Linked DNA regions of Saccharomyces cerevisiae S288C. The protein of the gene in region 1 binds, or shares a complex with, the protein of each later gene. Each region holds a gene or a part of one and is shown in the gene's direction. Other genes may lie near its edges.

Region 1 (3,220 bases):
AAGATGAAAACTTGTCCCAACCACGAACGAGAGTAAGAATTGTTGACGACAATCTTTACAACAAATCGAATCCATTCCAACTATGCTATAAAAAACGTGACTACGGTTCTCAGTACTACCACATTTATCAATACCGTCTAAAGACTTTCAGAGAACGCGTCTTAAAAGAATGTGACAAGAGATGGGATGCGGGCTTTACCTTGAATGGCCAATTAGTTCTAAAAAAGGACAAAGTGTTAGATATTCAGGGAAACCAACCATGTTGGTGCGTAGGATCCATATATTGCGAGATGAAATATAAACCAAACGTACTGGACGAAGTGATCAATGATACATATGGTGCACCAGATTTAACTAAAAGTTATACTGATAAAGAGGGTGGTTCTGATGAAATTATGCTCGAAGATGAAAGTGGGAGAGTGCTTCTAGTGGGAGATTTTATTCGGTCTACACCCTTCATCACGGGTGTTGTTGTAGGTATACTGGGTATGGAAGCTGAAGCCGGGACATTTCAAGTTTTAGACATATGCTACCCCACTCCTTTACCACAAAATCCTTTCCCTGCACCAATTGCTACCTGCCCCACCAGGGGAAAAATTGCTCTTGTTTCTGGGTTAAACCTCAATAATACATCACCTGATAGGCTATTGAGATTGGAGATTTTGAGAGAATTTTTGATGGGGAGAATCAATAACAAAATTGACGACATTTCTCTAATTGGTAGATTACTGATATGCGGCAACTCTGTTGACTTCGACATTAAAAGCGTGAACAAAGACGAATTGATGATTTCTCTAACTGAGTTCAGTAAATTTCTACACAACATTTTGCCATCTATATCTGTTGATATTATGCCCGGAACCAATGATCCAAGTGACAAATCTCTACCGCAACAGCCTTTCCACAAATCATTGTTTGATAAGTCCCTAGAATCATACTTCAACGGTTCTAACAAAGAAATTTTGAATTTAGTGACCAACCCATATGAGTTTAGCTATAATGGCGTAGACGTTCTAGCCGTTTCAGGCAAAAATATCAATGATATTTGTAAATACGTAATACCATCAAATGATAACGGAGAAAGTGAAAACAAGGTCGAGGAGGGCGAGAGTAATGATTTCAAAGACGATATAGAGCATCGCCTGGACCTTATGGAATGTACAATGAAATGGCAAAACATCGCGCCCACCGCACCTGATACCTTATGGTGTTATCCGTACACTGATAAGGATCCATTTGTATTGGATAAGTGGCCCCACGTTTACATTGTGGCAAACCAGCCATATTTTGGAACAAGAGTAGTGGAAATAGGTGGTAAGAACATAAAGATAATATCTGTCCCTGAATTCAGTTCTACTGGGATGATAATATTACTGGATTTGGAAACGTTAGAAGCAGAGACGGTCAAGATTGACATTTAAATAAAACAAGGAATAATTTCCACATAGATATGCAATTAAGTTTTATATGTAAAAGTGAGCATTCATCGTTCAGCTCAAAATACGTTTCTTGTCACAGCTGGTAGAAAAACTATGAGCGTTTTTTCTTACCCGCAGTCGGAGAAAAATTTTTTCTTCGAAGAGGCGAAAAAGAGAAGAAGAGAAAGCACAAATCTGATGAAATAGTAGTATAAAATCGCATTTACAAATTTTCAACCATTGTTTATTTCCTAGGTCATTAAAGAGTAAAGTGCAATCTGTTTACTAATCAGTTTTTGTCTTCATATTTTTGTGTCTTTTCTGCTGCCTCACGCACCTTCTATAATACACCAAATAATGTCCACTTCTCATTGCAGATTTTATGAAAACAAATACCCAGAAATTGACGATATCGTCATGGTTAACGTCCAGCAGATTGCTGAAATGGGTGCTTATGTTAAATTGTTAGAATATGACAACATTGAAGGTATGATTCTACTAAGTGAATTGTCCCGTAGACGTATTAGGTCAATCCAAAAATTAATTCGTGTTGGTAAAAATGATGTCGCCGTTGTTCTTCGTGTCGACAAAGAAAAAGGTTATATTGATTTGTCCAAACGTCGTGTTTCTTCTGAAGATATCATTAAATGTGAAGAAAAATACCAAAAATCTAAGACTGTTCATTCCATTTTAAGATACTGTGCCGAAAAATTCCAAATCCCTTTGGAAGAACTATATAAGACCATTGCTTGGCCATTAAGTCGAAAATTTGGTCACGCTTACGAAGCTTTCAAACTATCCATCATTGACGAAACTGTTTGGGAAGGTATTGAACCGCCATCAAAAGATGTTTTAGATGAATTAAAGAACTATATCTCCAAGAGATTAACACCACAAGCTGTAAAGATTAGAGCCGATGTTGAAGTGTCTTGTTTTAGTTACGAAGGTATCGATGCCATTAAAGACGCATTAAAATCAGCTGAAGACATGTCCACAGAACAAATGCAAGTTAAAGTTAAATTAGTCGCCGCCCCATTATATGTTTTGACCACCCAAGCCTTGGATAAGCAAAAAGGTATTGAACAACTGGAAAGCGCTATTGAAAAAATTACAGAGGTTATTACAAAATACGGCGGTGTTTGCAACATTACCATGCCACCAAAGGCTGTCACTGCTACTGAAGACGCTGAGTTACAAGCTCTATTAGAAAGCAAAGAATTAGATAATAGATCTGACTCTGAAGACGATGAGGATGAGTCAGACGACGAGTAATCATTGCCGCGCCTAATTTTTCTAGGTGTTTTCAAGTGTCATACTGTTTTAGAAAATTTTGTATAGAACAAATACGTATATCCTGCCATATCATATTCTTTGCAATATACACCTTGTACATTTGGCTATTATAAATATTACAATCCATTTAATCATAATCAAAATTTAATTTCTGTTACCACGGGGTTGTCAGTGGAGCATGCCCTGCCGGTTCTCTATAATTTATCTTTTTCACATGAGATATTTTTACCTCAAAAGGTAGTGATGCTGTAATAATATGAGGCTCCCCCCTTTCCTTCGGAATTGCATTTAAATCATTGGGGAACACTAAGACAAGACAAAGGGGCCGTCCACTCATGTGATTTTCAACAAAACAGATAACATGCGGATACACACTGATATATTTTCAAAGGAAAGTCTGACTGATACTTAAGTGAAGTGGTCCTAGTCGGTGGCTTAGGTGGACTACAGTGCAAAGAATAGAATTTTTCAAACATGTCAATACGTCCAGCAACACATGCAGGCTCATG
Region 2 (3,465 bases), on another chromosome or scaffold:
TTGGTTTCACACGTTGCTGTGGAACAACACCTGACGGAAGAGAACCTGCAGCCTTTTTATTCTTGCCTTTCTTGGACTTTGTAGACCCCCATAAAAAACTCATATTCCTCGAGGCCAATTGATCTGTTAACTGTACTTTACTACTTATACTACTTGATATATATGCCCTTTCTTTGCACACAATGTCTCTTTATTGCCGTTTGTCATTTTGTTTTTTTTATTTTTATGTTGAATTTAGATACACCATTGTGCATACATCTTATTTTTCCCAAACGGTGTAACAATGCCTCGGAAACCTGATGACGAATTGCTAAAATAATACGGCATTGTACGGCACCAGGACTGGCAACGTAGCATTTCCAATATTATAATATTTTTACTCAATAACTGAAAAGATAATAAGAAAATTATAAAAGTAAAAAAATTCTTCCCCGCCAGGACTTGAACCTGGAATCTTCTGGTTCGTAGCCAGACGCCGTGACCATTGGGCCACGAGGAACAAGAATTATTAAGAGACATTAAAAATTGAGAACCCTAAGTATCAGCACTATTTATTGCATGATTTTTTACCTAATATAGTAGTTCAAATTACCAGACCCAACTAATCCTGCTCTAAGAAGTAAGAAATGTGTGAATTTTGAAATAATTGTTGGGTTCCATTGTGAATAAAAGCTATCATTGAGAAATGTTTGAATAATATGATAATTACTGGTGTTCCATTATTGTTGAAGGCTATGATACACAATATACTAAAAGTTCTCTTCGAGGATATTAGAAATGCGGAAGAAGGAATCGGTATTCATGAATAGTAATGTTATTGTCTCGTTTTTTTACTTTATATGCTTATTCTTTATCTTGTTACGTTATCAATGCTTGCATTTCAGCTTCTATTATATTTAATAACCGTTTCTCATTCTTAATGTCATCTTCTTACACTGTGTATGAGAACATACTGCTAATTTGTGTGCTAGTGCATAGATGGTAGTTAATTCTTATTCAGACAAAAAGTTTTAGTATCTGATCTGTTGTTAAACATGTTAGATAAGTATTTTTTGGAATAAAGATCCACTATCGTATATTGGCTAGCGGTCGTGACACTAATATGTTATTACATACTGCATAAATAGAATACACAAATCGTGAGGTACAGTCATCCAATGTTGTGGAAGTCGATACTCAAGACCTAAAGAAAAATAAAATTTCTGAATGAAAAACATAACGATAGTAAAAATGAGCGGTATGTTATGACATAGGAGATAGAAGAACAAAACTGATCTGATCAAATTATTTTAAGAATATTTTACTAGTATGTTTACTACATGACAATCTGCAGCAGTGCCAGCTACATGGTGATCTCTCCAAAACAGACCAAACAATTTGCGCTTGTATTGCTTTTCAAAATAAAACTAAACATATGTAATTGTGCTTACAAGAATTGCTAGCTATATCTTATGTTGGTAATAGATAACGATTAGTAATACCTTTTATGAGAAAGAATAAGGAGGCAATGCCATCATTTTCGCCACATTAAGAGTGCACGACTCTATCCAGGGAATTTGATACAACACAGCAACATTGTCGCCATATTTAAAGCTTTCTACATAGCATAATGTTTTTTTTTTTTTACAATAGATAAATTTCATCCGGAAGAAAAATGAAAAAAAAATGAAAAAATTGGTGAAGTTTATGGTGTAAAATGAGAATCATACTGCTCAAATAGTGACAAAGCCATCATTAATCATAGATTTCTTCATAGTAATTGATAGAAAGAATTTTAAAAGTCCTACGTATACCAGAAATCGAGAGGAAGGATGTCGGAGTTTAATATTACAGAAACTTATCTAAGGTTTTTAGAAGAAGATACTGAGATGACAATGCCGATTGCTGCCATTGAAGCATTGGTCACGCTATTAAGAATAAAAACACCAGAAACAGCGGCAGAAATGATTAATACAATAAAAAGCTCCACGGAAGAACTTATTAAATCCATTCCGAACTCAGTTTCCCTGAGAGCCGGTTGTGATATTTTCATGAGATTTGTCTTAAGAAATCTTCATTTATACGGTGATTGGGAAAACTGTAAACAACATTTGATTGAAAATGGCCAGCTTTTTGTATCGAGAGCCAAAAAATCGCGTAACAAGATTGCAGAAATAGGGGTGGATTTCATAGCTGATGATGATATCATCTTGGTACATGGTTATTCGAGAGCAGTATTTTCTTTATTAAATCATGCAGCAAATAAGTTTATTAGGTTCAGATGTGTGGTGACAGAATCAAGACCTAGCAAACAAGGGAACCAGCTATATACTTTACTTGAACAAAAGGGCATACCCGTGACTCTTATTGTCGATAGCGCGGTTGGAGCGGTAATCGATAAGGTTGACAAAGTGTTCGTTGGTGCTGAGGGTGTTGCTGAATCAGGTGGTATTATAAATCTCGTGGGTACCTATTCAGTGGGTGTTTTAGCACATAATGCAAGAAAACCATTCTATGTGGTCACTGAAAGTCACAAATTTGTTCGTATGTTTCCATTGTCTTCAGATGATCTACCTATGGCCGGCCCTCCTTTGGATTTCACACGTCGTACGGACGATCTAGAAGATGCATTGCGTGGGCCCACGATCGACTATACCGCCCAAGAATACATTACTGCATTGATTACAGATTTAGGGGTCCTCACTCCAAGTGCCGTTTCAGAAGAGTTAATCAAGATGTGGTATGATTAAAAAAAATCACATAATATATGCACGCAATGACTTAATAGAAAAGGAGAAAAAGCGCAAGAGCATCCTTTATGTGAAACTGATGTCTGATGCTGTTCTTTCTTCATGATGCATTATGTACTTCAAACTAGATTATCTATATAGTCTTCTTGTTTCTCTAAGGCTACTAAAGTTTTATCTTCAGCTTCTTTCACGATAGTATCTTTGAACTGTTCAAACGTGCCTTCTGCCCAGGTCAATTCAATATTAGCCTCTTCATCGGCGACTTTATGTGCCAGCAGGGAGCCAGTGAGTCTGTTTTGCGAAGGGTCGTTGACGCTCTTTACAGACATGGTAACCACTTGAGCGCGTTGTGATGAAGGATTAGGGTTCCTTCTGGCGTCCTCTTGCTTTCTTGTTACATTTGCGTCGTCGATATATTTGAAAAATGGCTTCAATTGTGCTACCCTCTCAATAGGTACCAAATAAACCTGCATATCTTTGACAAATGCTGCATATTGGCCATTGTTTTCCACACCCACGCCTTTTAATGTTTGGACATTAACCCCATTCCATTCGCTCTCAGCCTTATCCTTGTTATAGAAGGCCTGCTCATCCAAAGGAATATCTATTTCCCATAGGTGCGACTTGGGTTTATATCTTGCTGCAGAGATAAACGGATGCTCAGCAGGTTTGCGTCCTACTAGCCTTGGTCTATTAGCATACTGAAACACGTGCAGTGACTCCTCTTCTCCGGAGA
Region 3 (3,967 bases), on another chromosome or scaffold:
AAATATCCCAAAAATATCATATATCCTCATCACATTTGCAAGTCTAGCGCTTCGATGCGTTGTGAACACTTTGTCAATGTATTTAGTTGTATTCATACCCAATTTATTGGCACTTATTTGATACTCACCATGCAGGGTAATAGAAAATGTGCTGAAAAAAAGCTAAACCTTTCTTATTAAGAAAATGGGAACCATAACAGTGGTGATTAATGAGGGACCAATACTGTTGATAAGGGCATTGCACCGAGCAACGACCAACAAGAAAATGTTCAGAAGTACAGTTTGGAGACGTTTTGCATCTACCGGCGAAATTGCGAAAGCAAAGCTGGATGAATTCTTGATATACCACAAGACAGATGCGAAACTAAAACCATTCATTTACCGTCCCAAGAATGCTCAGATATTGTTAACTAAAGATATTAGGGATCCAAAAACAAGGGAACCATTACAACCGAGACCTCCCGTAAAGCCACTGTCGAAGCAAACGTTAAATGATTTTATTTATTCGGTTGAACCCAACTCGACAGAACTACTAGATTGGTTCAAAGAATGGACAGGGACCTCCATAAGAAAGCGCGCTATTTGGACGTACATCTCACCAATTCATGTTCAAAAGATGTTGACTGCGTCATTTTTCAAAATCGGTAAATATGCGCACATGGTAGGACTCTTATATGGTATTGAGCACAAGTTTCTCAAAGCGCAAAATCCATCCGTATTTGATATCGAGCATTTTTTTAATACTAATATCATGTGTGCTTTGCATCGAAATAGGTTGAAAGACTATAAAGATGCAGAAATTGCTCAGAGGAAACTGCAGGTTGCTTGGAAAAAGGTATTAAATAGAAAAAATAATACTGGACTAGCAAATATTCTTGTTGCAACATTAGGTAGACAGATTGGATTTACCCCAGAGCTGACGGGCTTGCAACCTGTAGATATTAGTTTACCAGATATCCCCAATTCATCAAGTGGCGCGGAACTAAAGGACTTGCTAAGCAAATACGAGGGGATATACCTTATTGCAAGAACATTATTGGACATCGATCAACACAATGCTCAATATCTAGAATTGCAAGAATTTATACGCCAATATCAAAATGCATTAAGTGAATCCAGCGATCCATACGACACGCATTTGAAAGCGTTGGGACTGTTGGAAACACCACCTCCTCAGGAATCCACCGAAAAAGAGGAAAAATAGTACCAAAACACCCCATAGGAAATATATAAATAAACATACCTGTAAATACTAAAAAGTAGAACACAGTTCGTCACATATATTGCTATTATTGTATTAATTATGTTTATATTTACCCGGGAATCTCTTCACAATTTTCAGTACCTCTCGCTTTTTTCCAATTTTTCAATTTTTTTTTTTCGAGTTTAGTGAAAATGAGTATTCTACAACAAGGCATCACCAGCTATAGATAATCAGCGTAAGTGCATAAGATCTTATTTTCACCACGTAAGAAATACGTTGTCAAAGAAGCGTCGATAATCAAATTGCTATGAGCGAATCGGAAGCCAAATCTAGGTCGGCTACACCGCCAAGTAAAGCTAAACAAGCTACTCCAACAACTACAGCTGCAGCTAATGGAGAAAAGAAATTAACAAACAAGGAGCTAAAAGAACTAAAGAAACAAGAAAAAGCTGCAAAGAGAGCTGCAATGAAGCAGGCTAATGGTATATCCATTGAACAACAGCAACAACAAGCACAAATGAAAAAAGAGAAGAAACAACTACAACGTGAGCAACAACAGAAAAGAGAGCAAAAGCAAAAAAATGCCAATAAAAAAAAACAAAATGAACGAAACGTGAAAAAGAGCACACTTTTTGGTCATCTGGAAACTACTGAAGAAAGAAGAGCGACAATTTTAGCTTTAACCAGTGCAGTATCATCTCCAAAAACTTCGCGAATCACCGCTGCTGGGTTGATGGTCCCCGTGGTGGCTAGTGCATTATCAGGATCTAACGTATTAACGGCTTCTTCCTTGATGCCCGTGGGTCCAAACGCGTCGTCTACTGTATCTGCATCAGCTCCAGCTTCAACAACAACGACTCTTCCTGCCTCTTCTGCAGCACTCTCTGCCGGTACCAGTTCTGCGTCAACAAATACTCCAACAGCTATACAACAAGAGATTGCTTCATCAAACGCTTCTGATGTTGCCAAGACATTGGCATCTATCTCGTTAGAGGCTGGTGAGTTTAATGTCATTCCCGGTATATCGTCAGTGATCCCTACCGTGTTAGAACAATCATTTGACAACTCCAGCTTGATATCGTCTGTTAAGGAACTTTTATTGAATAAAGACCTTATCCATCCGTCGATATTATTATTAACTTCTCATCTAGCACACTATAAAATCGTGGGATCCATCCCACGTTGCATAGCCATGCTAGAGGTTTTCCAAATTGTTATCAAAGACTATCAAACACCTAAGGGAACTACCTTGTCACGTAACTTAACAAGTTATTTGTCACACCAGATTGATCTTTTGAAAAAAGCTAGACCTTTAAGTGTTACTATGGGTAATGCTATCAGATGGTTAAAGCAAGAAATTTCATTAATTGACCCATCTACCCCCGACAAAGCCGCCAAAAAAGACCTTTGTGAGAAAATTGGGCAGTTTGCTAAAGAAAAAATCGAACTGGCTGATCAACTAATTATAGACAATGCCTCTACACAAATTGAAGAATCTACTACTATTGTGACATATGGTTCATCAAAGGTTCTAACTGAACTGTTACTGCATAATGCAATCAGTTTAAAGAAAAACATCAAAGTGATTGTCGTCGATTCGAGACCACTATTTGAAGGGCGGAAAATGGCAGAAACTTTAAGAAATGCTGGTGTCAATGTTATGTATGCACTTATTACAAGTTTGGATACGATATTCAATATGGATGTGGACTATGTGTTTTTAGGAGCCCATTCTATCCTATCTAATGGGTTCCTATATTCAAGAGCTGGGACAGCAATGTTGGCTATGAGCGCTAAGAGAAGAAATATACCTGTATTAGTCTGCTGCGAAAGTTTGAAGTTTTCACAAAGAGTACAATTGGATAGTGTCACATTTAATGAACTGGCAGATCCAAATGACCTGGTTAATATAGATTACGAAAATCCAGTCGAGAGACGCGGTAATAAAGGTGCGTTATTAAACCAATTTATCAAAGAAAGAAAATTTGAAAAGAAAAAGCTAGCAATGGAGAATAAGCCAAAGGGTAATAAAATTGGCGGTAAGAAAGGATCTGAAGGAGAAAGCAAGGACGCCAGTAATGAAGAAGACAGCAACAGCAAAAATATTTTGGATGGTTGGCAAGAGTTACCTTCGTTAAATATTGTCAACATCTTATACGATTTAACACCACCAGAATATATTAAAAAAGTGATCACTGAATTCGGCGCTTTGCCACCTTCATCTGTCCCTGTTATTTTAAGAGAGTACAAAGGTTCCGCATAAGCATATACAACATTCGTTAATGGTCGTCCACGTGTGTATACTACATATATATTATATATATATATATATATACATATATATATATATTACACCTAATACGATGAAAAAATACATCTAATGAAAAGAATTGTTTTTATCCTTAGCTTTCCAAAAAGCTTGGTATATATAACAAGATTTAGGCTAGAGAAATGATGTAATTATATAGGGCTATATACAGAGTAAAAGAAACAAAAACGGAGAAAAAAAGCAAGCAAAATGTTACTCTCAGTCATCGATATCGTTAGCTTCAGCAACCGCATCAGATTCGGCCTTGCTTCCAACAACTCCTTTAACGAAAGAAGCCACATTAGCAGGAGGCAAGATGGCAATCATTAATATAATATATTCGTAAATGGCTTCAGGAATGGATCTTTGGTAAATTCCCAATAAATCGGCTGGCTGAGGGTATACAGTCAATGCTTTATAAAACTTAGAGGCTGCTTCCAGTTCCTTACCTTGTT

The links.
Region 2: the proteins of SUI2 (region 1) and GCN3 are in contact, whole or in part, in a cryo-EM structure (PDB 6I3M), measured with the Saccharomyces cerevisiae proteins. Residues at the interface, in NP_012540.3 of Saccharomyces cerevisiae: Glu29 (codon at 1,860), Met30 (codon at 1,863), Tyr33 (codon at 1,872), Met45 (codon at 1,908), Leu47 (codon at 1,914), Leu48 (codon at 1,917), Ser49 (codon at 1,920), Glu50 (codon at 1,923), Arg53 (codon at 1,932), Arg55 (codon at 1,938), Ile56 (codon at 1,941), Arg57 (codon at 1,944), Ser58 (codon at 1,947), Lys61 (codon at 1,956), Arg75 (codon at 1,998), Asp77 (codon at 2,004), Tyr82 (codon at 2,019), Ile83 (codon at 2,022), Asp84 (codon at 2,025), Arg88 (codon at 2,037); in NP_012951.1 of Saccharomyces cerevisiae: Pro39 (codon at 1,926), Glu40 (codon at 1,929), Thr41 (codon at 1,932), Ala42 (codon at 1,935), Ala43 (codon at 1,938), Glu44 (codon at 1,941), Ile46 (codon at 1,947), Asn47 (codon at 1,950), Lys50 (codon at 1,959), Met74 (codon at 2,031), Leu78 (codon at 2,043), Leu81 (codon at 2,052), His82 (codon at 2,055), Tyr84 (codon at 2,061), Asp86 (codon at 2,067), Trp87 (codon at 2,070), Arg238 (codon at 2,523), Asp305 (codon at 2,724).
Region 3: the proteins of SUI2 (region 1) and GCD2 are in contact, whole or in part, in a cryo-EM structure (PDB 6I7T), measured with the Saccharomyces cerevisiae proteins. Residues at the interface, in NP_012540.3 of Saccharomyces cerevisiae: Arg57 (codon at 1,944), Ser58 (codon at 1,947), Ile59 (codon at 1,950), Gln60 (codon at 1,953), Leu62 (codon at 1,959), Ile63 (codon at 1,962), Lys67 (codon at 1,974); in NP_011597.1 of Saccharomyces cerevisiae: Lys376 (codon at 2,637), Glu377 (codon at 2,640), Lys378 (codon at 2,643), Leu381 (codon at 2,652), Ala382 (codon at 2,655), Gln384 (codon at 2,661), Leu385 (codon at 2,664), Glu631 (codon at 3,402), Phe632 (codon at 3,405), Glu646 (codon at 3,447), Tyr647 (codon at 3,450), Ala651 (codon at 3,462).

What each region holds. Positions count from the first base shown.
Region 1 is NC_001142.9:449,245-452,464, forward strand, and holds SUI2 (translation initiation factor eIF2 subunit alpha), read left to right. Parts: upstream 1-1,775; coding exon 1,776-2,690; downstream 2,691-3,220. Other genes in the region: DNA-directed DNA polymerase delta subunit POL31, read left to right, coding at 1-1,421; MHO1 (Mho1p), read left to right, coding at 3,186-3,220. UniProt on the Saccharomyces cerevisiae protein: eIF-2 functions in the early steps of protein synthesis by forming a ternary complex with GTP and initiator tRNA. This complex binds to a 40S ribosomal subunit, followed by mRNA binding to form a 43S pre-initiation complex.
Region 2 is NC_001143.9:488,002-491,466, reverse strand, and holds GCN3 (translation initiation factor eIF2B subunit alpha), read left to right. Parts: upstream 1-1,811; coding exon 1,812-2,729; downstream 2,730-3,465. Other genes in the region: BCH2 (Bch2p), read right to left, coding at 1-103; RPC37 (DNA-directed RNA polymerase III subunit C37), read right to left, coding at 2,849-3,465. UniProt on the Saccharomyces cerevisiae protein: Acts as a component of the translation initiation factor 2B (eIF2B) complex, which catalyzes the exchange of GDP for GTP on the eukaryotic initiation factor 2 (eIF2) complex gamma subunit.
Region 3 is NC_001139.9:644,360-648,326, reverse strand, and holds GCD2 (translation initiation factor eIF2B subunit delta), read left to right. Parts: upstream 1-1,511; coding exon 1,512-3,467; downstream 3,468-3,967. Other genes in the region: mitochondrial 37S ribosomal protein mS44 MRP13, read left to right, coding at 185-1,204; TOM complex receptor protein TOM20, read right to left, coding at 3,732-3,967. UniProt on the Saccharomyces cerevisiae protein: Acts as a component of the translation initiation factor 2B (eIF2B) complex, which catalyzes the exchange of GDP for GTP on the eukaryotic initiation factor 2 (eIF2) complex gamma subunit.